Linked DNA regions of Notamacropus eugenii. The protein of the gene in region 4 interacts with the protein of the main gene of each other region in a pairwise test. Links are inferred from orthologs where the notes say so. Each region holds a gene or a part of one and is shown on either strand. Other genes may lie near its edges.

Evidence for each region.
Region 1: the proteins of TRIM2 (region 4) and UBAC1 interact in binary tests that used the Homo sapiens proteins (3 or more experiments, as listed by UniProt). The link is inferred for Notamacropus eugenii from reciprocal best matches to the Homo sapiens genes TRIM2 and UBAC1.
Region 2: the proteins of TRIM2 (region 4) and LRRC8E interact in binary tests that used the Homo sapiens proteins (3 or more experiments, as listed by UniProt). The two-hybrid records come from large-scale screens. The link is inferred for Notamacropus eugenii from reciprocal best matches to the Homo sapiens genes TRIM2 and LRRC8E.
Region 3: the proteins of TRIM2 (region 4) and CIB3 interact in binary tests that used the Homo sapiens proteins (3 or more experiments, as listed by UniProt). The two-hybrid records come from large-scale screens. The link is inferred for Notamacropus eugenii from reciprocal best matches to the Homo sapiens genes TRIM2 and CIB3.

Annotation. Positions count from the first base shown.
Region 1 is NC_092872.1:490,824,353-490,831,757, reverse strand, and holds the start of UBAC1 (ubiquitin-associated domain-containing protein 1), read right to left. Parts: upstream 3,013-7,405; 5' UTR 2,709-3,012; coding exon 2,571-2,708; intron 1-2,570.
Region 2 is NC_092875.1:51,719,757-51,726,588, forward strand, and holds the start of LRRC8E (volume-regulated anion channel subunit LRRC8E), read left to right. Parts: upstream 1-3,816; 5' UTR 3,817-3,902; intron 3,903-6,832. UniProt on the Homo sapiens protein: Non-essential component of the volume-regulated anion channel (VRAC, also named VSOAC channel), an anion channel required to maintain a constant cell volume in response to extracellular or intracellular osmotic changes.
Region 3 is NC_092875.1:59,264,160-59,271,195, forward strand, and holds the start of CIB3 (calcium and integrin-binding family member 3), read right to left. Parts: upstream 3,019-7,036; 5' UTR 2,844-3,018; coding exon 2,793-2,843; intron 1,769-2,792; coding exon 1,734-1,768; intron 1-1,733. UniProt on the Homo sapiens protein: Acts a an auxiliary subunit of the sensory mechanoelectrical transduction (MET) channel in hair cells. Plays a role in regulating hair cell MET channel localization and function.
Region 4 is NC_092877.1:151,306,238-151,313,271, forward strand, and holds the start of TRIM2 (tripartite motif-containing protein 2), read left to right. Parts: upstream 1-4,008; 5' UTR 4,009-4,074; intron 4,075-7,034. UniProt on the Homo sapiens protein: UBE2D1-dependent E3 ubiquitin-protein ligase that mediates the ubiquitination of NEFL and of phosphorylated BCL2L11. Plays a neuroprotective function. May play a role in neuronal rapid ischemic tolerance.

The DNA.
Region 1 (7,405 bases), on a different chromosome or scaffold from region 4:
TCTATAGCAAGTAAATAAACAGTAGCAGGCTACGCTCCATACTTTAGTGGATAACCCTATAAAAATAGCGACTCTGCAGAATAGTTTTCATTAATCTCTGAAAATAACTATAAATCAATGTTTTAGACAGCTACTATAACACCAAGGAATCTCTGGGCTACAATTTACCCATATTTTAACATTCAAGGATAATTAATGTATCACACATAGATTATTACAACATGCATATTCCATAGTCACATATATCTTATAACATGAATATTACATAAAGAAACACTTCACACTAACGGGTTACTGTGGTGACACAATCAACAGCTTTTTTCCCAATTCTAATGAGACAATGGCCTCTGGCACAACACTTTATGTAACATAGTGACAAGTATTGACTAGGCATTTATACATTTGGTCTATGAATTGTGTTATAAAGTTAAAGTTTACAGAAATGAGTAAGTCTCCAGGAATTCGTTTCAGCCATCAGTTATATAATATATGATAGCTACACACATACACACACACTAACTCATTTCATTTGTGTACAATAAATTTAAAAGTGTGGTCACTTCAGAAAATCAGAAATCAGGAATCCATTTTTAGTTTTTTTTCTTAAAGGTAGTAATTTCAAACCAAAGAGGAATGCCTTGAGAGGAGAGGTAACGTTTTAGTGGTTTCAAGTACAGTAGGAAAAAAAAACTAAACCCTGCTGTGGAGAACATGCAACACAAATAACAGTTAACAAGAATAGTCCAAAATGCCAGGTTTTATCGAGACAGTTTTAATGTTTCTATGACTTCATTTAAGTGTGCCTTAAAACACTAACTATGAGTTCATGGTGAAACTGAAAAAAAAATTAAAACTTCACCAGAAAGATAGGAATTGACCTGGACCTGTGATTTCATAGATATAGGAAATTCAGGTTAGGAAATCCTCTTCCCAACAAAGGTCAGCACCTTCTCTGCCTAGAGCACTGAGAGGTTAAGGGTCACACAGTCAGTATGTGTTACAGGCAGAGCCTGAATCAAAGTCTTCTTAACTCTATTCAGGGGGCCATTCTGCCTCTTTATCCCTACTGTGCATCACTGAAAGTGACAGAGGAATATAAAGATCCTTTTCAAAATTTCCTTGAATCATCAAAAGAGTTGAAGCAGATTATGTAATGAGGGTAAGTGTCTAGTGTCCTACCTATCTCCTTCTGTAGTTCATATTACCTCAGAAAAGAAGAAAATAATAGAATGTGAGAACTAGAAAAGTCCTTTAAAGATCATCTGGTGCAAGCATCTTATTTTGCAGATGGAAAAGCTGAGGTCCAGAAAGGCTTTCCCTTGCCTAAAGCTGCACAGCTTGTTGGGAGCAAAGTTAGGACCAGAATCCATTGTACTACAAAAAGAGAAAGAAGAAAAAGCCAGGAGAAGCAGAATGGAGGTGGGTGAAAATGAGTTCACAGACTAAGGATTATTGAACGAGGTCAAAAAAAGATGTCAAAACAAAGGGGGATGAGGTGAAAAACCAGAAGTAAAAGGAGGGAAGGAGGAAAAAGGAAAAGAACTGTAGGAGGAAGAGATATAGAAGACAGATAACAAGAAATGGAAATGTAAGAGGGGAAGAAGGAAAGCAGAAAAGCGATTAAGGAAGGAAAACACAAATGGGCAAAAAGAAATGGAAAAATGAGTTAGATGAGTTTAGAAGTAGTAAGAAGGGCACAGGAAACTATAATTAGGGAGGAGAAATGTGGAAAAAAGGAAAAGGTGTCTAAAACCAGAAAAAATGTGAAAACACTAGAGGAAGGGGTGGGGCTTCTGAATCTCCAGTTCCCTCCCTCTCGGACCATTTTAAATTTAATTATTTTGCATTTTTTACTTTCTTTACATTAACTGTAGCTATATACACACGCATATGTACCTATATGCCTCTCTCTCTTCCTACACACACACACACACACACACACACACACACACACACACACACACACACACACACACACACACACACAGATACACCCCAATAGCTATGCCGATACAAATACAGGTATTATTGCTTACTCCTCCATGAGAAAGTAAGTTCCTTTCTAAAGTAGGGATTGTTTCATTCGTTATTTGTATCGCCAGAACCTAGAACATTGCCTTGGCACATAGTAAGTATCTGATACTTATTGATTATCTGGGGGAATAAGCTGTAAAATGAAGAAAGGAAGAAAAGGGGAGAAAGAGGTTAAATGTAAGAAAAAACAGAAATGGAAAGAAAAGAAAGAAGGAAGGAAGTAGATTAAAAAGGAGAACGAAACTTTAGGAGAAGACGAAAAGCAAAGAGACAAAACTGTAAGTAGGGAAAAGGAGAGAAGGATGGAGTGAAGAAGCATCAGTGAAAACGAGAGTGAGTGAAAAGGAAAGAAAAGGGGGGGGGGGGGTTCAGCGAGGGAAGGAAAATGTAAACGGAGGAGAGAACGGAGGGCAGATCGGCTCTCGGCTGTGCGCCACGGTCGGAAGGAGGGGACGAGGGACGGGAGGCTAGGGCCGGGGGCATGGGGATGAGGGGCGCCCGAGGCAGGGCCCGCCGGCTCGGCGGCGGCTCCTTACGTGTTTGAGGCAGCGCTCCTTGAGCTTCTCCACCGTGGTATCCTCGGTGACCTCCTCCAGCCACTCGGTGCCTTCCATGGTGCAGATGTGAAGCCTCAGGACCTTCCTGGCGAAGATCTTCTCCTCCTGCACGAACATCGCCGCCCTCCCTCGGCTCCGGCCGGGCCCGGGCCTCGCTCGCCTCAGTCTCCCTCGGCCTCAGTCACCGCCGCTGCTGCCGCCTCACACGGCCCTCCTCAGCCGCCCCGGGGCGGGGGGCCCGCGGCCCATGAAGGTCACCGCGGGCGGACGAGCGAGAGAAGCAGAAAAGCTAGTCCCCAAAAACCCCGGTCCCGGCCCCGACCCTGGCTCCCGCCCCGTAGCGACCTGTCACTCGCCGCCCTCCGCCCGCAGCCGTCGCCCTGACTAGCTACCCGCCGCTGCCGCCGCACGCCGGAAGTGCGGGAGGAGGTGCGCCCCGGGGTATTCTGGGAGTTGTAGTCCCAGCTTCGACTCGCCTCAAAGGGATCCCGTGGACCCTAAGAGCAAGAATGCGCGGGATAAGATTTAGAACCGGAAGGGACCTAAGACTAAAGAATATCAGGCTGAAAGACCAACATGAAATAGAAAACGTTACAGCTGCAAGAGAACTTGGAAATAAATAATGTCGTTTTGTAGATGAAGACACTGAGACGCAGGAGGAAAGGGACTTGCCCAAGTTCACAAGGCTAATTCAGTTGGATGAGGAGCCTCTAACCCAGGCTCTGTTTAGACTCCCCTTGGAGCTGTCCAGTTCTGAAAGCAGTCATTTGGAAACGCGATCACATTCTTTGCTGTGGTGACCTTGAGGGAGACACTCAATAGGATTCAATTCAACTTAATATTTGTTCATATGGGCAAGGTGCTGTGTTAGACACTGGGGATACAAAAACAAAACTAACAGCAAACAGTCCTTATGCTCAAAGAGTGTGCATTCCATTGGGAAGATAAGGTATGTACACAAGTAAGTAAATGCAAAATATTCTCAAAGTAATTTAGAGAATGAGAGAGTGCTAATCAATAGGATGAATAGGAAAGGCCTTTAAAATGTGGCATCTGAACTGCTCTTTGAAGAGGAAGCTAAGCAGCTTCTACATTAAGGGATCGAAGGGCTTGGGATATGATATTCAGAGGTCAGAGGAGCTAGGATTAAAACCAAGAATCACCTACCCAGCAAAACTGAGTATAATCCTTCAGGGGAAAAGATGGTCATTCAATGAAATAGAATACTTTCAAGCACTCTTGAAGAAAAGACCAGAGCTGAATAGAAAATTTGACTTACTAACACAAGAATCAAGAGAAGCATGAAAAGGTAAACAGGAAAGAAAAATCATAAGGGACTTACTAAAGCTGAACTGTTTATATTCCTACAAGGAAAGATAATATTTGTAACTCTTGAGACTTTTCTCTGTAATTGGAGGGGTTATATACATATAGACAGAGGGCACAGGGTGAGTTGAATAGGAAGGGATGATATTTTAAAAAGTGAAATTAAGGGGTAAGAGAGGAATATATTGGGAGGAGAAAGGGAGAAATGGAATGGGGCAAGTTATCTCATAAAAGAGGCAAGAATGGAGGGGAAGAGAGAGGAGGTGAGAGGGGAAAAGTGAACCTTACTCTCATCACATTTGGCTCAAGGAAGGAATAACATGCACACTCAATTTGGTATGAAAATCTACCTTACACTATAGGAAAGTAGGAGAGAAAGGGATAAATGAGGGCTAGGGGGGATGATAGAAGGGAGGGCAAATGGGAGGAGGGGGTAATTAGAAGTAAACACTTTTGAGGAGAGATAGCATCAAAAGAGAGAATAGAATAAATAGGGGGCAGGATAGGATGAAGGGAAATATAGTCTTTCACAACATGACTTTTATAGAAGTGTTTTGCATGCCTATATTTGTATAATATATATCAAATTCTTGCCTTCTCAGTGGGGATGGGTGGGGAGGGAGAGGAAAAGAAGTTGGAACTCAAAGTTTAAAAAACGAATGTTAAAAATTGTTTTTACATGCAACTGGGAAATAAGATATACAGGTAATGGGGTATAGAAATCTATCTTGCCCTACAAGAAATCAGATGGAGATGAGGGAAGGGAGGAGTGTAATAGAAGGTAGGGCAGATTGGGGCAAGGAGTAATCAGAATGCACATTGTCTTGGGGTAGGCAGAGGGGAGACATGGAGAGAAAATTTGGAACTCAAAATCTTGTGGAAATGAATGTTGGAAACTAAAAATAAGTAAATAAATTTTAAAAAGAAAGAAAGAAAAGGGAACTAAGGGATTCCAAGAAGTGGAGATGGAAGGAATACGTTCCAAATATGGGAAGACCATTTATGCAAAACATAGAAATGCATGATGAAATGTGTGGGGACCAAGTATTAATTAAGTGGCTAGATAGAGCATCTATTAAGCACTTATGTGCCAAGCAGTGAAGTAAATACTGCGGATACAAATACAAGTATACTTTTGTTGGGAATTGTGGAAGAAATGGATAAAATCTGTGTGCTGTAAGTTTGGGGGAAACATCTCTCCAGAAAAAGTAGCTTTAAAGGTCAAAAGGAGCTACAGGAGTGTGTAAATTTTATTCAACAGGATAAGCCCATTGATTCTATCTGGAAGGAAGCTTCCACTACCTTGGAGACCTAGGTTCTGATAGGATTAGTGACCAGAGTAAACAGGATCCTTGGTAAATCCTTAGACAACAAGTCATAGCTGACTCTTTTTGACCCCATTTTACAGGTTTTCTTGGCAAAGATTTCATTTTGCAGCTGAGAAACTGAGGCAAACAAGGCTAAGTGATTTATCCAGTGTCTGATTTGAACTCATGAAAATGAATCTTCCTGGTTCCAAGCCCAGTGCTCTATTCACTATACCACCAAGTGTAACAATAATTTAAGGTTAATGGAGGGGGTGGGGGAGAAGAGTTAAAGATCTTCCCCACCCATTAACAGGCCTCAATATCTTTTGCTAATTTCTATTGAAGCACTGGATCAGGGGATCTTGCCCTCTTGCTCTGAAAAATGTATAAATACTCTGAGGTGAGGTTTTGTTTTGGGGCTTACTCATTGGAAATGTTTGTTTGGCCAGAGGAGACTCTGGGTAGCTGCTAAGAAGCCCCCCCGACTTTAAAAACCCAGATATTTATTGGTGCTTCTCTCTCTGGTAACTATGTATGTACATTGGTCTGTGAAGTTGGATCTGTCTGTTGATCTGTGATGTATGTATTGCTTCTGGTCAGATAGTTGGAAGCCCTGTCTGTTGATCTTTATTTCTCTGCCTGTATTTTTTCTGAAGTTCAGGGTGCTAACTTTTCCCCCTGAACTAAGTGAATGATACATGTGCTTGATTAAAATAGATTGTTGATCCCTCAAAAGTCATTTTCCTTTTAGAAAAGCAGATCTAAGAACATGTACAACAGGCCCTCCTGTGTATGCCAGGGTCTTTACTGTTACAACTAGCTGCCCAAGAAATGAAGTTAACAAATCCAAACTCCATTTAAAACATCACTTCCCCCAAATCACCTGACATCCTGTCCCTATTATTCAATAAAGGAAGTACCTAAGTTGCCTCAGCTGAGAGATTTCTTATGCCACTGTAAAACTATAAAAACACCTTTTGCTGTGTAAAATCCTATGTATGTATGTACCTCCCTTGGTTCTGTGGCTAGTCACCTATCAACTGCCTACCAGCTGATGATAATGAAACCTTATGTCTTCTAGCCTTGCCTCTTGATTTATAGGCCTTCAGTCAAACAGTCCAAAGTGGGAGGATCTCTGGACTGAATAATTCCTCAATAAGATACAAGTGCAACCACGTTTTTGTTTTGACTGATTCAGGGGTAGTCTCTACCCTCAAAGAACTTACATTCTAAGGAGGAAAGACAATACATAAAGGGGAGTCGTAGAGTTGAGGGGTACTAGATCAATTGCCTATCTCCTTTCTCTGGAAAGAAGATGGAGAAGTTTAGAGAGTGATTGAAGAGAATATGGCCTGAACCCCTCATAAAATGGTAATCTTGGCTAGAGACTCACCAATCAGAAGAGCAAAACTCAAGGCAGAAGTATCTTCAGGGTGGGAAGACAGTTCTCAAGGCGGTTGAGAAGTTAGAAGTCTGGAGACTGAGTGGGCCTCAAGGTAGATTGCTGTGGTAAAGGCACTTTGCCCTAGCTCAGAGGAGTCCAGTGTTTCTCCTCCTTTGACAAATATACAACATGATATTTCACAGTTCAGGGCCCAATTTGCCGTAACTACAAAGTTACTACAGAATTAATGCTAATAACTATTCTTTAAAATAAAGTAGCATTAGATAGTTCTCAGGAGATCATTCTGGCCTTTGCATTCTTTTTCCCTACCAAAGGCCTGCTTGCTGGGGGTATGAAGGCAAAAAACAACAAATGGACCCTGTCCTCAAGGCATAGTCTACTGGTAAAAGACAAAATATACAGATATGTAAATAATAAATACTTTGAAAATGGAAAGAATGTGATGTAAATGGGAAGATCTGGAAAGCTTCAGAAAAGAAGATGTACCTTAAATGAGCCTTGGGGCAAGTGAATGGTAAGAAGGAAGCACATTCCAGGCACAGGAGATAGTATAGACAAACCCTGGGAGAAAGCATGTCAAGTTTGGGGAACAGTGAGGTTGGAGAGAGAATTTAGAACTCAAAATTTTTAAAAATAAATATTAAGAATTGTTTTTAAACATAATTGAACAGCTAACATTCCAGTCTGGTAGGAACATAGAGTATATGAAGAAGAGAATTATGAAATAAAACTGGAAAAAAAAATGTGAAAGTCAGATGGGGATGATTAAATATCAA
Region 2 (6,832 bases), on a different chromosome or scaffold from region 4:
GAAAAAATAAATAGCAAAAAAAATTAAAGTCAGGCAAGTGGAAGCTAATGATTCTATGAGATATCAAGAATCAGTCAAACAAAACCAAAGGAATGAAAAAACAACAATGTAAAATACCTCATTGGAAAATAGATCCAGAAGAGACAATTTAAAAATTATGGGACTACTTGAAAGTCATGATTAAAAAAAAGAGCCTTGACACCATCTTTCAAGAAACTATCAAGGAAAACTTCCCTGATATTCTAGAACCAGAGGGTAGAATAAATATTGAAGGGAAGGACAAAAGATCTATCAAAAATATCAAGGGAATCAATGAAAAAAATATGAAGAAAGGTGGCTTGGCAATACCAGATCTCAAATTGTATTACAAAGCAATAATCATCAAAACAATTTGATTACTTGCTAAGAAGTAGAGTGGTAGGTCAATGGAATAGATTATGTACACAATATAGAGTAATAAATGGCCATAATAACATAATGTTTTATAAACCCAAAGATCCAAGCTTTGGGGACAAGGACTCACCATTTGACAAAAACTACTGGAAAAACTGGAAAGCAGTTTGGCAGAAATTAGGTATAGACCAGCATCTCACACTGTATACCAAGATAAGGTAAAAATGGGTACATGATTTAAACAAATAGGGTCCTGCCATAAGCAAATTGGAGGAGCAAGGAATAGTTTACCTGTCAGATTTCTGTATAAGGGAAGAATCTGTGACCAAACAAAAAACAGAGAGCATCACAGAATGCAAAATGGATAATTTTGATTACATTAAATTAAAAGGATTTTGCACAAACAAAACCAATGAAGCCAAAGTTAGAAGGAAAGCAGAAAACTGGGGAAATTTTACAGCAAGTTTCTCTGATAAGGGCTTCATTCATCAAATACATAGAGAACTGAGTCAAATTTATAAGAACATAAGATATTCCCCAATTGATAAATGGTTGAAGGATATAGACAGGCAGTTTTCAGATGAAGAAAGTCAATTGGAAAAAATGCTCCAAATCACTATTAATTAGAGAAATACACATTAAAATAATTCCAAGGTACCACCTCACACCTATCACATTGGCTAATAAGAAAGAAAAGGAAAATGACAAATGTTGGAAGGAATGTGGGAAAGTCTGAATACTAATGCACAGTTGATGCAGTTGCAAATTGATTCAACCACTCTGGAGAGCAATTTGGAACTATGCCCAAAAAGCTATAAAATTGGGCCTATCCTTTGACCCAGCAACAAGTCTATATCCCAAAGACATTTTTTTTAAAAGAAAAAGGATCTATATGTGCCAAAAAAATTTATAGCAGTTTTATGGTGGCAAAGAATTGAAAATTGAGGGGTTACCCATCAATTGGGGAATAGCTGAACAAGTTGTGGTATGATTGTGATGGAATACTATTGTGCTATAAGAAATGAAGAGAAAGATGCTTTCAGAAAAAGACATGAACTGATACAAAGTGAAATAAGTAGAACCAAGAGAACTTTGTACCCAGTAACGGCAATATCATACAATGATCAACTGTGAATGACTTAGCTATTCTCAGCAATACAATGATCTAAGATAATTCCAAAGGACTCATGATAGTAAAAATGCTATCCACCTCCAGAGAAAGAATGGTAGAGTCTGAATGCAGATTGTGATAGAGTCTGAATGCAGATTGAAACATACTTTAAAAAAAACTTTATTTTCCTTATTTTGGGGTGGTGTTTTTTTTGGTCTTTGTTTTTTTTTTCACAAGATGACTAACGTGGAAATATGTTTTGCATCATTGCACATGTGTAATCTACATGAAATTGAGGACAGAATTTGGATCTTGAAAATTTTAAAAAACAGATGTTAAAAATTTTTGCACATAATTGGAAAAAAGCATTAAAAAATTTATTAATTGTCAATGTGCTAAGTGCTGGGGATACAAAAAGAGGCAAAAGATTGTTCCTGCCCTGGAGGAGTTTACACTAGGAAAGAAAACACGAAAACAAATACATTCAAAGTAAGCTACAAATAGGGTAAATAGGACATATATAACAGTGGAAAGGCACTGGAATTAAGAGGGGTTGGTAAAGACTTCCAATAAAGGAAGGGATTTTAGCTGGCTCTTAAAGGAAGCCAGGGAAGTCTGTAGTTGGAGTAGAGAAGGGAGAGCATTCCAGGCATGTAGAAGAGCTGGAGAAATTGCCTAGAGCCAAGAGAGGGAATGCCTTGTTTGTGGAATAGCCAGGAGGCCAGTGTCACTGGATCGAAATGAAAGTATTGGGAAGCAAGGTATAAGAAAACTAGAAAGGTAAGAAGGATCCAAGTTACAAAAGGATTTGAATACCAACCGAAGCATTCTGTATTTGCTTTTGGAGGCAATAGGAAGCCATTGAGGTTGATTGAGTAAGAAGGTGACATGATTAGATCAAAGTTTTAGAGAAATCATTTTAGTAGCTGAATGAAAGACAGAGTGGGGAGAGACCTGAGGCCCGCAGAACCCCTCCCTCCCCCAGTAGGCTGTTGTAATAATCAAGGCTTGAGGTGATGAGGGCTTGCACAAGAGGGGTGGCAGCATCAGATGAGAGAAGGGGAGAGTAGTGGAAATCTCCAATTTCCACAGACTTAGGTGTCTGTGCATTTTCTAAGCCTCCTCAGCTTCTTTACTTTTCAATGGGGGGAGAAGAGGGAAAATGTGGCAAAAAAAAAAAAAAATGATAAAAGTGTAAGAGAGATGAGAAGAGAAGGAGAGGTTGTGGCCTGTGAGTCACAGTGCCTCAGGTGAGCTAAGGACTCAAAGGACTGACCTCTTATGCTCAGCTCACCTAACCTGACATCCCCTGATTGAGCTCTTTGCTAGCTCTCCGTTCAGCCAGCTTACCCTCTTTAGGAACAGACAGGGAAGATAGATATAGTTTAAGTGAAGCTAGGTAGGACAGGATCCCTGGGAGACAGGAGAGCTCCAGCTCAAGTCCTTGTTCAGGTCCCAATGCCTGGAGCCCTTCCTTTGAACCCTCCTTTTTCTGCCTGCTGGTGACCATAGAGGCTCCACTGGTCAGAGGGAAGAACGGACATAGGTTAGTTACTGTCTGCTCCCTCTTATCAGAATCTATGTCCAGGTTTACTCATCAGAAGCTCTCTTCTCTCTTTCCAACCCTTGGGTTAACTAGCCTTTTAAGATCCTACATTTCCTCTTCCCCAATTTTTGTTCTGAGCCGGATGAGCCTGCAGGACTGATGTGAAAGGAGTGGAACCCCTTGGGCTGGCCATGTAGTTTCCCTGCAGCTATTGGACATAACCACTACCCCCTGGAGGAGTGGCTGGATGAGGGTTCTAACTCCCTTGGTGCTGACTCCCTAATATTCCCTCTTCTGGATTGGTCTGGGGATTGGTTGGCTGAGGGGAAATCATTAAAGGACCCCACTTCTTTCCCTCTCCCTTAGCTGGAACTGCTGATCTGGGGAGAAGAGAAGGAAACGCTAGACAGTCGGGAGGCAGGGTGCCTGAATCTTTTTTTCCCTTAGAATGACCTGTTAAGTGCCTAAGGCTTAGTTTCCCCTGAAGGTCCAGTACAAAGTCCTACAGGACAGTCATCTAGCTTCCTTTGAGGCTGACCTCAAATGACTGGCTCTGTCCCCAGAGAACCCAACTACGTTGCCCAGTTTAGAAGACTCCCCTGATTTGCTTGAAAGCCCAGACATTTGAATCCTGGTACCCTCCGCCTCAGTTTCCCTTTCCCTCCAGTCTCTGGCCCGAGTAGGGCTGGGGTGAGGGGCGGGACCAGGTGGGCGGAGCAGCTCCGGCTCCTCAGCTCCAGCGGCCACGCCCGACTTGACTCACCCGCCCGGCCCCGGTGCTGCTCGGGACGTCCGGAGGAGACCGGAGCGCATTCCCCGAGAGCTGGGACTGAGTCACTGCTGCACCGGCGGGTGAGTCAAACGAGGGGTCTGTTCCTAGAGCAGATTCAGTTCTGAGAATGGGGATCTATCCCGGCAGGGGAATCCCCTCGGAGGACGGGGATCTGTCCGGAAGGCTAGGGATCTGGACCAGGAGAATGAGGCTCTGTCCCGAGAGCTTGGCGGGAGGGAGTTGTCCCTGTACGGGGAGGAGGACCTGCTGGGAGAACGGAGGTCTGTCCCGAAGGCTGGGGAGCTGCACCTGGAAATCGAGGACTAGTGTGGAGAGCGAGGGGAGAGTGGGAATTATCCCCCCGACAGGGAGATCTGCTGGGACAGTTGAGCTGCGTACGCCACCACACACAGTCTGCCGGGAAAAGAGCGAGATCTACCCCCGGGCAATTGTCGGTGCCATTGAGGCTGAGCCCCTGAACTGGGGGTGGGGGGGAGAAAAGAGCTGAGAGAAGACTTATTCGGGATTCCCTCCTAGTCCCGACCTCTTTTACCCTAAACCCCAGTCCTCATAGATCCTGTTATGGGGCCCAGTCCAGATCTCTTCTACTCTGAGCCCCTGTCACCATAGACGGTCCCCTGACTTATGAAGCGATTGTTTCCCTATCCAGACCCCAGACCCCAGGCCCTGAGATTCCAGTTTCAAAATCCCAATTCCTATTCCTCGATTTTTGACTCCTATCTCTCCAGTCAGCTTTGAGATCCTCAGTCCTCAGCATATTGACACTCCACTATCCTGTCCTTTGGACTAGCCTGTGATTTGGCCAATTAACAAATATTTGGGTGTCTGCCTTCTAGGGATTTCCAATCTCCTAGAAGAGTTAAGACAAGGTTGAAGATAGCTAATCCATAATGAATCCAGTATCATAGGGCAGAGGCCAAGATCTCTAGCCAAAGAATAGGTAGGGGCTGTCTGCTCAGATAGAGCTGGAATGGTCTGGGAAGGCTTCCCACAGGTGAGTCTTGGGTCAAGCACTGAAAGCCCAAGATGGAGAGGATTTATAGAACAAAAGGGGGAAGGACATCTAGAAAAAGGGGTGACAGAGCAAAGGTTAGGGCAGACGAATGAGGAGGGGATGGTGCTTGGAGCAGAAGGAGACATGACCTTGCAGGGGTAGGTTGGGGCCAGTTAGAAGAACATCTCAAGTACCCACTGCAGTGCCTTTTTTTCCCCTCTAGGGTGGGAAAGCCATGGAAAGTCAGGGCAGGGACATGGTCAGACCTGGACTTTAGGAAGATACTTGGTAATTTATGCCAGAAATATCATCTAGAGGTGAGGCAAGAGATGGAAGGGAGGCTGGTCAGGAGGCCATTGTCAGGTAAATGAAGTGCATGCGTCCCCTGGCTTCTCTTTTCTGTGACCTTCCTGTCCCCATCTACTCTGCCTCAGGCATCCAGGGCTCAAATCTTCCCTTACAGATCTGATCTTAGGAAAAGAACAGATGAATCTCTTTGACAAAGGAGTCAGTGACTGAAATGACTGGCTAGGGGACCCTCCCACATATTGGCATTTTGTCAGGGTTAAATGCCTTCAAAGGAATGAAGTCCTGATGATGGGATATCAGGCCTTCCTCAGGGGTCCAGAGCCTGCTTTGAAGTGTCTGAAATCACCGTAGGTCATAGGGTAGATGCTGCCCATCACTTGAGAATTCATTGCTTAGAGGTCTATTATCCTTGGGCCCTTCCACCAGAATCGTTTTCAGACAATGTCCTTGCGCGTGGAGACAGTCATGTGTCTATGGGGGCTTAATGATAGGTTTGGGACCACAAAGTTAGAATTAAAGACAGACAGAGATAATGACAATTCCATGTGTCTGCCAATCTATATGCCACTCTACATTTGGGGCTCTGTCTGGGACTGTGTGTGTTTTTGTGTCCATCTGTCTGGAATGGATTTCTTGTCTGATGTTGTTCATCTCTGCCTCTGTTTATCTGTACCTCTCTGTGTTTGTGACTAGGATTGTGTCTGTCAGTATTTAAGAGAGACTGGTGGGTTGGTGACTATTTCCCTGGGTTTGCTCAATATTTCTATGTGAGCCTGTAACTGAGTAACCAACGATGAGTAAGACTGGGTCTACTGTGATTGTGTATCTATCTGATTGGGTGTTTGAGATGCACGATGGGGACTGGGATTCTTCCTCAGTATTTGTCTTTCTTGAGTACATTTCTAAGATTTTCTCTGACATGGTAGGAACTGATGCAGAAACAAGGGCTTTGTGACCTAAGCTTATCGATAAGTGGTGCATTGGATTTAGTTAGGTGTTTTTTTTTGAGGGGGGTTGTTATTTTTGTCCATCTTTCATTCTCAAAGAGGACAAATGATATGACTTTTGGGGGGGTGGAGGATGGGAGAAGATTTGATGTTGGCTGTGGAAAGTGAGACTTACAGTGATAGACATAATTAGGTGTTTAACAAATGACTTCCATGCTGATCTGCTGTGAAAACCAGAACAATTCAAAATATATTAAGCTCCTACTAAGCACCTCTCTTAGGGACTGGAGGATGTGGAGAAATAATATTGCTTGCTCTTAAGGAGGTGATATTCTATGTTAGGGGACACGATGTGAACAAAAATATTTATAGGACAAGGAAAACGGAGGAGCAAGGTAGAATCAAGGAAGACCTTGGGGAGGAGGGGATGGAACATCAATTGAGTCTTGAAGGGACCGTGAGGTTGAGCAGGGAGGGCCTTCCAGGCATGTGTCATGTGAAGAGTGCCCAGAGACAAAATTTGGATCAGGGAGGATGATCCCTAGAGCTACATCCAGGAAAATCGACAGTCTTTCTGTTTGACAAGAACTGATCATTGGTGAAGGGGAGTCCTATGAAAAAAGATTGGAAAGGAATGTGGGAGCCAGATTGCAGTGGGCTTTAAGCAGTTTGTCACTAGAGATAGGCAGCAGAGGATTATAAAGTTTAGAACAAGGAGAGTGGCAGTGTGGGGCTAGAG
Region 3 (7,036 bases), on a different chromosome or scaffold from region 4:
ATCTCTCTGACTCTCAGTTTCTCCATCTCTAAGATGAGAGAATTGAACTAGATTGGAGTTCTTGATCTGTTTTGTGTCATGATTCCTTTTGCAGTCTGTGAAGCCAATGGGACCCTTTTTGGAATAATGCATTAAGTGAAATACATAAAATTACAAAGAAAACCAGTTACACAGAGTGTCTCAGGAGTCTTAGTTTTTAATTTTGATAGCTTAAAACTGCGCAGTTTTTAATCTGTTAAAGTTTAAAAGTAAGACTTTTAATCTAAGTTTTCAACTTTAATAGCTTAACAGAGCTTTTAAGCTATTATGGTTTAAAACTAAGAGTTTGGGAGCACCCAAAGTATTGAAATAGTTATCCCATTTTTTTTTTAATGTTTACAGACACCAAGATAAGAACCTCTGGACCAAATAATCCCTAAACTCCCATGCTGCTCTAAATCCCATCATCTATTCTTCAAATTGCTCTCCTTTAATTTAAGGGTTTGATCTCTGTTACAATTCACCACTCCTTCCCCCAATATCCTGCCAGGGCTCATCCTTGAAGCTATCAATTAGAGAATCACATAATTTGACAGTTAGAAGGGAACTCCCCAGCCATCTAGTCTGACCCAAACATGAAGGAACGCCCACCATAACCTAACCTACCAGTAGTTACCTAGTAGCCTCTGCCTGAAGTCCTCCAGTGAGAGGAAACCTGAGCATTTTAAGCAGCTCATTCCACTCAGGGAAATCTCTAATTTTTAGAAAGCGTTTCCTAACATCAAACCTAAATTTGCCTCTTTGCAATTTCCACTCACTATCCCTGATTCTCCTTCTGGTACCAAACAGAATAAATCTAATCCCAGTCATTCCTAGTACTTTATACTTTAGTCTGAGTGAAGGCTGTGGGAGACAGATTTTGACAGGGATGAGGAAGAGGGAACATGATGTACTTCTCACTGTTACCTGTTCAATTAGGGAGGACCGGCCAAGAAGTCCTTTGTCACTGGCCAACTGAGCTGTCAATCAGCATCAAGCCAAACAATCAATAGTATTATCATCAGTTATAATCCTGGCAGAGTGACCTGATGATGCCAACTCACAGTTAAGCTCATGGTAAAAAGAAGAGAGTTTGCTCTACCCGCCCCCCCCCACCTCCATTTCTCTGTGTTTATCTCTCTTTTGAGAGAGTATGACAAGATCATTGCATACATCCCTGCCCTGAAAACAAAACTGTCAGCTTTGCAGTTTTGCTATCTGGTATACTTGTCCCGTGATGCATTGCTCTGAGCAAAACACACGGAAGAATACTGAATTGGGGGTCAAAGTATCTGGATTCAAATCCCCGCTCTGTTACTTGTTGTTGCCTGTATGAAACTTAGGCAAGTTACTAAAATATTGACCTCAGTTTCCTCATTTGTAAAATGATGAAGTTGGATTAGACTAGGGGTTCTTAACCTTTTTGGAGGGGGTCGTAGGCTTCTTTGACAACCTGATAAAACCTATAGATCCCTTCTCAAAATAACATTTTTTAAAGGCATAAGATAAAATTCAGAGGATGATCAAAGAAACCAAAGGTTTTTTAAAATAAACCCACCCAGGTTCACAGACAACCTGAAATCCTAGGTTAAGAACCCCTGGATTATATGATCTCTGAGATCCCTTTAAACTCAAAAATCCTATGATCCTATAAGCACCTACCTTCAGCTTGAACCTTCCCAGTGATGGCTGAGTGCGTCCCAGAAGAGACTTACCTCAGAATTTCTTTCCTTGTAAAGAAGGTGCAGTCCTGCAAAGAAAGGGGCATAGAGAATGTTGATTTATCAAAGCTTCCCCTTCCTCCTTTCCAGAGAGCAGGGAATTAGCAAAGATCCTCCTATTTGTGCCACAAATATGCTTTTTCATAAGGGTGGCCAGATCTCCATTGGACTTCATGAACACAGCCATCAAAGGTCAGTCATCTATCAACCTGAAAACTATAACACAAATCAACCATTTTGACAAATATTTTTCCTTAAACAGCTGAATTTCTGGTAGAATTGTTTCAGCCCCACACAAATGTAGTCTAGGTCAGCGAGTGCAGTAGCTATAATCCAAGATGGAGCAGTCTAAGCAGTCAAAAAGAGACACAAGGTCAAAGCAGAGGGCACTCATCTTAGATCCAGAGAATTCTCCCCTTTCCAGTCTGTCCTTCACATGCTTCCAGAATAATCTCCCCAAGGCACAGGTCTAGACCCTGCTCAAACTCTTCAATGGCTCCCTATCTGCAAAAGAAAATCCAAACTCCCTGATTTAATATTGAAGACCCTCCGTCATCTGGATCTAATGGACTTTTCCAACCTAATGGCAAATTACCACCTTTCTCTCTATATTGCAGTCAAACTACTGAACTCAACATCTTTCAGTTTCATTCTTCCCATCCTGTCCTTTCCTATCTCCATGCATTTGCACAAGCTATCCTCCATAACAGGAAGAGATGCCCCTTGTCCACTTCTACTGGTAGAAATCCTTCCCTTTCTTAAAATAAAAAGTAAATGTCCTTGAAGCCTCCTCTGAAGTGATCCTGCCTGACCCAAATCTCTCACCTTTTCTATTTAACCTCTTGTACGTCCTTATCACATTCCAATTTGTCTTATAGTTATTCCTATTTATCCCCCTTAGATTGAAAGATCTTTGAGGGAATAGATGTTTTTCATCTTTGTTTCTCTAGGACCAAGCAAAAGAACTCACATTTAGTTTGGTGGACCCTTAATATGTTGAACTAAACCAGGTTCAAATGGCAGACTCTTGTTCCTCCCTCTCAGGGCTCTTACCTGATATGCGTCAAGCTGTTCCGGAGTGAAAACTGTCTGCTTGCTGCCCATGTCTAAATTCAGGTTCAGTTCTCCTAATGGCTTTCCTCTTAAACTCAGTGATCACTTGATTTAAAAAGCAGGGGAAGGAGCCTGGCATAGGGGAGTCAGTCCCCTGCCAACTGTGAGGATTACTAAATCACCCCCAGGAGTATTTAAGCAAAATCCCTGACTGGCATCAGGCCCCTATGCCCTCCCTTTGCTCTCAGCCCCCACCTTCAGCCGGACTCACATTACAGCCTCTCAGGGAGCACAGCCCAAAGCTGCTTCCTGCCCATCTTGTCCAGTCCCACCCTCTGTCCAGGGAGTATATGGTAGACAGAGGAGTATGTTGAAGCCTGGACCAAGAAGCAGAAGATTCTCATCCTGGTTGTGCCACTAATTACCTATGATGTTGAGCAAATTATGCCCCCTCTCTGGACCTCAGTTTTCTAATCTGTAAAGAGTGGGTGTTAGACTAGATCAGAAGTTCTCAATCTTGTTTATGTCTGGAACCCCTTTGATCGTCTGTAAAGTCTAAGGACTCTTCAGAATCAGAAGAATAATGTTCTTAAGCATAAAATAAAGTACATAGAATTAGAAAATAAACCAGTTTTATTCAAATGCAGGTATCAAAGTATTTTTTAAAAATAAATTTATGGACCCCAGGTAAAGAATTCCTGGATTAGAAGATCTCTAAGATCACTCACAACTCTGGCATTCTGTGATCTATGGTCTAAGGGTCCTCCCAGATCTGACGTTCTATGTTATGTGTTCTAAGCTCCCTTTCAGCCCTATAACTCCTATATGCTGTTTTTATATACTGGACATGAGTTTCTGTTCCTTTTTGTCCTTGAGGCGAATGAATATCTGGATTACTTCTGCCTAAGACTAAATATATTACCATATATAGCAATACACAAGACTATTGCTGACCCCTCTCCCTCCAAGGGCCTCTCCCTACCCCCCCAGCTCTGGACTCATGCATACAGACCACATTCAGTCCTAGAGGAACCAAACTCTTAAAAAGAAGGGATTTACTCGTATTCTTGTAAATTTGACTCAGTTCTCTATATATTTTAGAAATGAGGCCTTTATCACAGACATTAGTTGCAAAAATTCTTTCCCCGTTTTCTACTTCCCTTCTAATCTTGGTTGCATTGGGTTTGTTTGTGCAAAACCTTTTCAATTTAATGTAATCAAAATTATTCATTTTGCACTTCATAATGTTCTCTATCTCTTGTATGGTCAAAAATTTCTCCATTCTCCATAAATCTGATAAATACACTATTCCTTGCTCCACTAATTTGTTTATAGTATCAGTCTTCATACCTAGATCATGTATCCATTTGGACTTTATTCTTGCGTACAGTATCAGGCATTGGTCTATGCCCAGTTTCCACCACACTGTTATTCAGTTTTTCCAGCAATTTTTGTCAAACAGTGAGTTCTTATCCCAGAAGCTGGGGTCTTTGGGTTTATCAAACAGTAGAAAAGCTATATTCATTAACTACTGTGTCTTGAGTACCTAACCTATCCCAATTGATAAACGGTCAAAGGATATGAACAGGCAGTTTTCAGAAAAAGAAATTAAAGCTATCTATAGTCCTAATGCTTAAATCACTATTGATTAGAGAGATGCAAATCAAAACAACTCTGAGATACCACATCATACCCATCAGATTGGGTAACATGACAAAACAGGAAGATAATAAATGTTGGAGAAGATGTGGGAGAGTTGGAACACTAATTCATTGTTGGTGGAGCTGTGAGCTGCTCCAACCATTCTGGAGAGCAATTTGGAATTATGCCCAAAGGGCTACAAAAATGTGCATACTCTTTAACCCAGCAATATTGCTTCTAGGACTATATTCCAAAGAGATCATAAAAATGGGAAAGGGTCCCACATGTACAAAAATATTTATAGCAGCTCTCTTTGTGGTGGCCAAGAACTGGAAATCAAGGGAATGCCCACCAACTGGGGGATAGCTGAACAAGTTGTGGTATAGGAATGTAATGGAATAATATTGTGCTATAAGAAATGATGAACAGGAAGACTTCAGAGAGGTCTGGAAAGATTTATATGAAATGATGCTGAGTGAAAGGAGCAGAACCAGGAGAACTTTGTACACAGCAACAACCACAGTGTGCAAGGAATTTTTCTGGTAGACATAGTCCTACACAGCAATGCAAAGTCCTAAAATATTCCCAATGGACTCTTGAGGCTAACTGCCTTCCACATCCAGAGAAAGAACTATGGAATTGGATTGCAGAATGAAGCAGACCATTTTCTCTTGTGTTATGTTTTGTTTTGTTTTATGGTTTCTCCCATTCATTTTAATTCTTCTATGCAACATGACCAAGGTGAAAATGTATCTAACAGGAAAGTATGTGTAGAACCTATATAATACTGGGGGGGGGGGGGGGAGGGAGGGGAAGGGAGGGGAAATATCTAAGATACATGAAAGTGATTGTAGAAAACTGAAAACAAATAAACTAATTTAAAAGAAACAAAAAAGAAGGGTAAGGCTCCTTTTCTGGTCCACTCTATCTTTATTCACTGCTACCCCCTAGTACTAGGGAAAATTACTTATAGCTCAAGTTTGGCTCATGTCTGGGGTATCCCCAAAAAGGGAAATCGAAAGGTACTCTGTACAATGAAGATCAGGTATAGGACAGCTATTTATTTCCTTCATTCAAAAGAAATGCTTAAAACACAAAACTCACAAGCATGAGTTGATCACATCAAACACAAACTTGCAACTTACAATCACTACCATGCTCTTCCAGGAGGTTGAGATTTAAAATGTTAAGACAAGGAACATTTGGTGGTACTGTTGAATGGGCATTTTATCTTCACCTTGACTGTACTATACAAACAGCTGCCTCCAGATCCATGTCTTCTGGGAAACCAGGCTGAGGTTTGAACTCATCTTCATCCTGGGAGTTCTCTGAAAAACATTACAGTAGCTTCCAGTGGGGGAATCCTCCTGAAATGCAACCAGCACCAACTGATGAACCCAAGAACTCCCAAACTCTCAGTATAGCCATTCCAAAAAGATCATCTCTCAATCACTGTTTAATCTAACAAAACATAAAAGGCAGCCAGGAGCCCAAAGCCCAGGTCAGGCTTGACTAGAAATACATGAACCCATTGTCACATAGAAGCAATGGCCAAAGGTCCCAGGGTAGGCAGGAGACATCCCACCTCCTCCACATACAGGAAATTCCAGAAGGCAAAAACATTTTTGGGCTGCTGGATATGCAACCACCTTACCATTAGACTGAACTGTCTGAATTAATCATTTCAATAGTAGGGAGGCAAGGTACCAATGTCTTGCTTCCTTTTATTGAGATTTTAACCCTTATAGTTCCTCCAATTACAGGGCTCACTTGGGAAATCCTCTTCTATCTCCCAGAATCTCATTCTCTCTGTCTCTCTCTGTGTCTCTGTCTCTGTCTCTCTCCAGTCCAAACTGCTTAGGAAATCAAGATTCCTCATTCTCCTTGGCAAAGCACTTGGGTTCAAGAAGAATATCAATGAACCCCTCCCCTCTTGGGTCAAGTGGTAAAGAATATGTCCATCTCTACCCTGTGCTTCTCAAGGATCTCTTGCTACTCCTACACAGCTTAGGGGCTATAATCTCTTGGCCTTAATTGGATATTCTTAGCAAGTGCCACTGGCTTCTGCACCAAGAAAGTCATTCCTGGGAAGAAAGTATATAGATGTATATAAATCTCATTCCTTGTCCCTCCCAGACCCCAGGTCCTCTCTGCTGAGTTCAAGTCCAGCCTTAGACACTTACAACCTATGTAACCCTTGGCAAGTCACTTAAAAAAAATTGGTTTCAGTTTCCTCAGCTGTAAAATGAAGATAACTCTACCTATCTCTCAAAGCTGTTGTAAAGATCTAGTAAGATTAATATTTTTAACACACTTAGCAAAATGTTTGGCACATAATAAGTGCTATATAATGTTAATTCCCTTCCCTTCCATGGTTAGTTGACGTTCTTTTATAATCCTCACCAGGGGTGGCTCTTCTCACAAGAGTCTATCCTCCCATGACCTTTTGTTGTTATAGTTCAGTCATTTTTCAGTCTGACTCTTTCAGTTTGACTCATCAAGGTTTCAACTGGTGTTTTCTTGGCAAAGATACTGGGGTGGTTTGCCATTTCCTTCTCCAGGGTCTCCATTTTACAGCTCAGAAAACTGAGGCAAACAAGATT
Region 4 (7,034 bases):
ATCACTTGAGTTCCAGTCCTGTCTCTGACATGTACTGAATGTTTCTCTGGGCAAGTCACTTAACATCTTTGAATCCCCAAGTAACTCTCAAAGATTTGTTGGAGGGAATTCCTAATCTGAAGTTCCCTATATAAATGTAACCACAGGATTGATCCAAATAAAGATGAAATTATAATATAAAAAGCTATATCTCTTGATTTTCAAAGAATCTGTTTTGGAGGAAGAATACAAGAGATGACAAAGAAAAGGTAAGTTCAAGAAAAGAACTGGACATTATATATACATATATATATATTTACATACACACACACACATAGTGTAATGTAATAGGTACACACGCAAATTTATATGCACATGGGCAATATGTGTGCAGTATGTATACACATGTGGACAAATATGCGTGTTATATACATACATGAGTTCATATAAACTTTGCCTTAGATATTTTTATTTTTCTACTTAATAGTATTTTATTTTTTCAAATTACATGTAAAGATAGTTTTCAGCATTCACTTTTGCAAGATTTTGAGTTCCAAATTTTTTTCTCCTTCCCTTCCTCCCCTTCCTCCTCCCCCTCCCCAAGATGGCATGCAATCTGTTATAGGCTATACTTGTACAATCATATTAAACATATTCCCACATTAGTCACATGGTGAAAGAAGAATCAGAGCAAAAGAAGAAAACCATGAGAAAGACAAAAAGGGAGAGGGAGAGAGAAGGAGAGAAAATACTATGTTTCAATCTGCTTTTAGACTCCATAGTTCTTTCTCTGGATGTGGATAGAATTTTCTATCATGAGTCTTTTGGAATTGTCTAAGATCATCGTATTGCTGAGAAGAGCTAAGTCTATCAAAGTTGATCCTTGCACAATGTTGCTGTTACCATATACAATGTTCTCCTGGTTTAGATGATATTTTAAAACCAATTCTCATAAAACCGTACGTGTCTAACTCTGAGATGGGCAATTAGTATTATTAGCAATTCATGAGAGAAAGTACAGCATGTTGGGAAGAAAAGTTTGGGTTTGGAGTGAGAGAATCTGGATGCAAATCCTGTTACTTGTCACTTGCATGACCATGCATAGTAGTAATTTACCTCTCTGGACCTTGTTGCACAAGATGGCTTTCAATAGCCCGGCCAGCACTAAATCTATGATCAATAAATTCTCATGTTTTAGAAACTGAAAAATAAGGTTCCCTGGAGGAGGTTACTTCACCGCTGGGTCTCAGTTTCCTCAGCCGTAAGTTGAAGGGTTAGATTAACTAGTTAGTTGAAGGAGTTAGCCTAGCTGATCTCTAAGGTTTCTTCCAACTTGGTTGGCCTGTTTCCATAAGGGATTATTGTTGTTCAGTTGTTTCAGTTGTGTCTGACTCTTCATGACCCCCTTTGGAGTTTCCTTGTAAAAAGATATTAGAAGGGTTTGTCATTTCCTTCTCCAACTCATTTTATAGATGAGGAAACTGAGGCAAACAGGGTGAAGTGACTTGCCTGGGGTCACACTGCAAGTAAATATCTGAGGCCAGATTTGAACTCAAGAAGAGGAGTCTTCCTGACTCCAGGTCTGGCACTCTCTCTATTGCACCACCTACCTACCTTTCCATAAGGTGCCTGAGCAGAATGCATCAGGTACAGCCTTCTACTAATGGGTCATTTTGCAAATCAAAATTTATTTGCCAATAGTATAAGAACAGAGAAGAAAACCATCAAAGATGATTTTGCAGTGTAGTTGGGAAAGATCATCAGGTCTCTCCTTCTAATTTGAGAAAATGGGAGGCTAGAAAACAGAAGGAAAAATACAGAAATGAGGCTCAAGATGGAATCTATAACAAAGAGTTCTGAGCTAGTTGGTGGTTAAGGTTACTATCTATTTAAATTTATTTCATTATTGCCCCCAGTATTTAAACAAAGAGGGGCAGCTAGGCGGTACAGTGGGTAGTACACTGGGCTTAGAATCAAGAAGACTCATTTTCCTGAGTTCAAATCCAGACTCAGACACTTACTAGCTGTGTGACCCGGGGCAAGTCACTTAACCCTGTTTGCCTCAGTTTCCTCATCTCTAAAATCAACTGGAAAAGGAAATGGCAAACCACTCTAGTATCTTTGCCACCAAAAAGGGGTCACAGAGTCGGACATGACTGAAACGAATGAGTAGCCTAAACAAAGATGCCAGCTGTCTTCAGCAAGTGGCAATTTCTCAAATAGATAATTGAAAAGAGCCTCTCACAGAGAGGTATGGGAGCCCCCGGAAGTATCTGTTTGTTAAATTTTCAGTGTGAGCATTTATACCTCAAATCAAAGGCTACAAATCAGGGCTTGATTTGTTGTTCTGTTGATTCTTTAGACTTAAGAACAAAATGGAGAAGGTATTAATAAAGCAGATTAAACTAAAAGTGTGTCCAGCACACATTTCTCCTGCCCAGAAAGCTGGTTGTTAAATATTTAACAGCACACCCTTGAGTCCTAGCTATTGTTCTCCTATCTTATATTTGTGATATTGAGTTTTTAAACCCAATTGTAAAGACTGCATTTATTCATATTAAATTTCACCTTATTTTATTCTGCCCAGCAACCTAGCCTGTCAAGATCTTTGGGGATTCTGACTACCTTAACCAAGTGTTAGCCATCCTTCCTCTTTTGTGTTACCTACAGATTTAATAACCGTATTGTGTAAGCCTTTATTGAAGTCACAGACGAAAATATCAAACAGCACGAGGCCAAGAACAGATCACTGGGGTGCTCTACCGGAAATATTTAAACTGATACCAAACCATTAATTACTATTCTTTGAGTGTGGTCATTTTACAGATGAGTAATCTGAGGGTCTAGTCTCATTTAGCCAAGTCTGAACCTAACCAATTATACTGCTGTCTAGCTCACATCTCCCTCTATTCCAAAATTTAATGAGAGACATTATTCAATCCAACCAATCCAATTTCCAAATGAAATTTGGTTAGTCTGGCATGGCCTGTTCTCCATGAAGTCATACTGACTCTTTGTGATCACAGCCTTCTTTTCTAGATATCACTTTATTTAATTATACATTCTAGAATTTTGCCAGAAATGAAAGTCAAGCCAATTGGTATAGAGTTTACATATTTCTTTCTGTTCTCTTTTTGAAAATCAAGAAATTTAACCTCCAGTCCTACAGTACAGTTGCTTTTCTATGCAATCTTTATTTAAAAATATTTATTGATATCTCTTGTTTCTATTTCACCTATATTTCTGAAAATATTTCTTTTTTTCCCCCTACCTAGTTAGCCATCATTTTTAGCAATTTTTTTTAAAAAAGCATTTCAGCAAAAGGAAATAACACATGAATCAAAATTCATTGCTTATTATAGTGCCTGGCACATAGTAGGCTCTTAATAAATGTTTTGGGGCAGGTAGGGGGTACGGTGGATATAGAGACAGGCCTGGAGTCTGAAGACTCATCTTCCTGAATTAAAATCTGGCCATAGACACTTAATAGTTGTGTGACCCTGGGTCAGTCACTTAGCCCTGTTTAGCTCAGTTTCCTCATCTGTAAAATGAGCTTGGGAAGGAAATAGGAATCAATTCCTGTAATCTTTGCCAAGAAAACCCCAAAAGGAGTCACAAAAAGTCAGATATGACTAAAACAACTGAACAGCAATAAATATGGATTAATCTATCTAAACTTACTGGGTTTGCAACATTCTGCACTGATAGTCCCACATCTCTGGTTCTCAACTTTTTCTTCCCAGGATTACTTTTCCATCTGACTCAAGAGCAGAGATACTGAGGCTTTCTTGACACCCTCCTCAGAGTGATTTATGGTCTGGAACCAGTGGCCAATTGAATTTCTCTAATAGAGTACAGTGGAGGACCTGGGCATAACTCAGCTGTATCCATCACTAATCATGATTCAATCTGCTGGCTATCCTGATGCTGCTAACTAGAGAAGACAGCTGGGATAGACAATAATCGATACTGGCAGCAGACAGAAGGAGAGAGCAGAGTCTGACACAGAGCATCAGTTGTCTCTGACCTAGAGGGATTCTTCTACCAAGGAAAGTCCTGCACAGCTGAGCTCAACTGGAGGAAGATGAAGCCAAGGTAAGCTTCTAATAATTCCCTCATGCTTTTTAATAGTAGTAAACAAAATAACTTGATCATCACAAAAAGCTCCCAGTGCACTTGACCTTGCAGTGAAAATACTATAGAATTGGGAAACTAATAAGGGTTTCCAAATGAGCATGGTTCATAGGGTACTTAGAAATCAATTGGTATAGCCCACTCATCTTCTAGATGAGGAGATTGTGGTCAAAGAAGTAGAGACTCATGCAAGGTGACAAAGGTAATATAAAGTCAATCCATTAATACATCAAAGATCTAAGAGGTAGCATGATACAGTGAGAAAAACAGTGGGTTTGAAGGCAGAAGACCTGGGTTCTCAGTACTTGTGTGGCCTTGTCATAAATAATGTAACCTCTCTAGTCCCTGTAAAATGAGTAGATTGGACTAGACAAGGGACCTTGTTCATCCTTCATTTTCAAAGAGGGTCATTGCCATCACTGGGTAATGTCTTGACTTGTGTGAGAATTGGATTTAAGCGAGGCAGAGTTGCACACTGTTTTCAGCCTCACTCTCTCCGGAGTCATTGAAGTCCAGCAACAAGAGAAAAGCTAGAATTACTGGCACTGGCCCAGGTGGTTGTGGATGACCTTGGCCTCTTTGGGGTCTGACCAAACTCTAAGCACTCCTTAGCTCCTCCTTCAGCAGCCTTCATGGCCATTAGAATAAATTGTTTTCATCTGCTTATTCTGTTGAGAGAAATCTTCACATCCCTGGGGTAGACATCTCCCTGACTCACCAACAAGTTTGAGGCCTGTCGGTTGCCCACCACCTGACTTATCCCAACTGCTGCGATGGTGCCAGAGTGTGGCCTCTGCACATGCTGCAGCTTCTTGGAGCCACAGATGAGAGTTGGGTGAAGGTGGACACCAATGGTGGATGAGCAGCCCTGATAAAAGTTCAGCATGCCCTCACATGAGATGTGCTAGTCCTCTCTGAACCCCCCATACACCCCAGAAGAGACCTTAAAGTCTAAATGATCCTGTGATGCTATGACTACAATGAGGGAACAACCTCCACGAAAGAAAATGGCAGCCCATGGTCAATCACTTGTTAGCTGAATCTTGCAGACTTGCCTGAAGCTCAGAGTGGTTGACATGACTTGGGATCACAGATTTGAGCTAGAGGGACTTAGAGGTCATCTGTCCTATCTCCTCATTTTACTGATGGACAAGAGAAGGTCACAGAGGTAGAAAGTGGCACATCTGAGATTTTCAGCGTATATCCAGAAAACCCACATAGGCAGCGATGAAGACAGCCTACTGACTAAGGTTCTACATCCCTTAGACTTCAGGTTCTATTTCCTAGGACCATGCTGGAAGAGAAACAAGAAATGATCTGAGAAAGCTTAAGGCATGTTTTAGGCAATGAAGTCGTCCAATTTGGCTGAAAAAGAGGGTGTGTGTAGGAGACAAATTTGAGATAAAACTGGAAAGGTAGGTTGGGGCTGAGTGGCAAAAGGCCTCGAATGCTGTGCCAACACAACCACCACCCTAGTTGAGGCTCTCATTACTTCTCGCCTGACTCAAGTCTCCCCCTGTTCCAAATACAGCCTGCCAAAGTCATCTTCCTAAAGCTCAGGTTTGACCTTGTCCCTCCCCTGCTCCTTGGCTTCCTGTTAACTCTAGAATCTAATATAATCCCCTTCTCCCTGCCGTGCAGCATCTGAAGCCCTTCCCAGCCGGGTTCCAACCTATCTTTCTAGCCTCTACACATTGGTCCCTTCCATGTACATGGCAGCTAAGCTAAACGAGCCTTCTTCTTGTCCCTTAGGCACCTTCATCTTCTTCCTTTTGCTTTTGTACTGTTCTGTCCCCTACACTGAAATGTACTCCTTCCTCACCTCCATCCTTTAGGATGATTTGCTTCATTCAGGGTTCTATTCAAGAATCATCTGTATAAAGTTTCCTAATTCCCCCAGCTATTACACTTTGCTCCTCAAATCACCTTGTAAGTGTTTTGTACACACACATGCATACACAACTTTTACGTATATGTAAGTATGGGTGGGTATATATGTATATATGTGTGTTATACACACATACACACACACACACAAACACACACACACACAGGTGGTCTCTCTAGCTAAACTGTAAGAAGGACCTGTCTTGCTTCTTCTTTTTAACCCCAGCATCTGGCACAGGGTTTAGCATTTAGGGATAAAGATTAGAACTGTGATTTTGATGTTTTGAGTAATTCCCAGGGAAAGAAACTCTCTCTACCAGTACATGTCATCATTGTTCTGAAATGTACAACCTTGGAGGACTGCCTGGAATACTGAGAGGTTAAGTGACTTACCCAGGGTCTCAGAGCCAGCATAGACCCATACCCTCCTGGCTTTGAGGCTAGCTCTTTCTATCCACTGAGCCTGCCTACTTCAGATAGAACCTAGGAGATAATTCATAAATGCTTGTTGAATGATTGAACCTAAGGGGTTTGGGCTTTACTTTATAGGCACATATTTCTTTAGTAAATAGGAATGAGGGTCTCATATATTAATGAAGGTTGTCCATGATGACAGTGGGCCCGGATCCAAATGCTTATATAATTCCATTCCTCCTCCTATTTAGTATGATGATGGGAAAGGATGAAAGGAAAGAAGAAAGAGTGCAAGAATGTTGCTTTGGTTTTTAGGGTTTTTTGTTTGTTTTTTTAAAACACAGATCAGTTGTATTCATCAGAAGGTTCAGGCTTTTATAGTAGAGTTAGCACAGTGAGGGCAGAACTATTTCATTTTTGTTGTATCTCCAGGGCCTAGCATAATACCCAGCTTTTAGTAGGCAGTTAATAGTAAGTGATGGATTGATTTGGGGAACAATTTCACAGTTTTAACCCTATGTCCATGCCTACAGGACTAGTTCCTGTCATTTTCTCAAGACCTCATTATTCAATATTTCATCTGTTACCATTCGGGAGCCTGGCGTGTCTAATGTATTGTG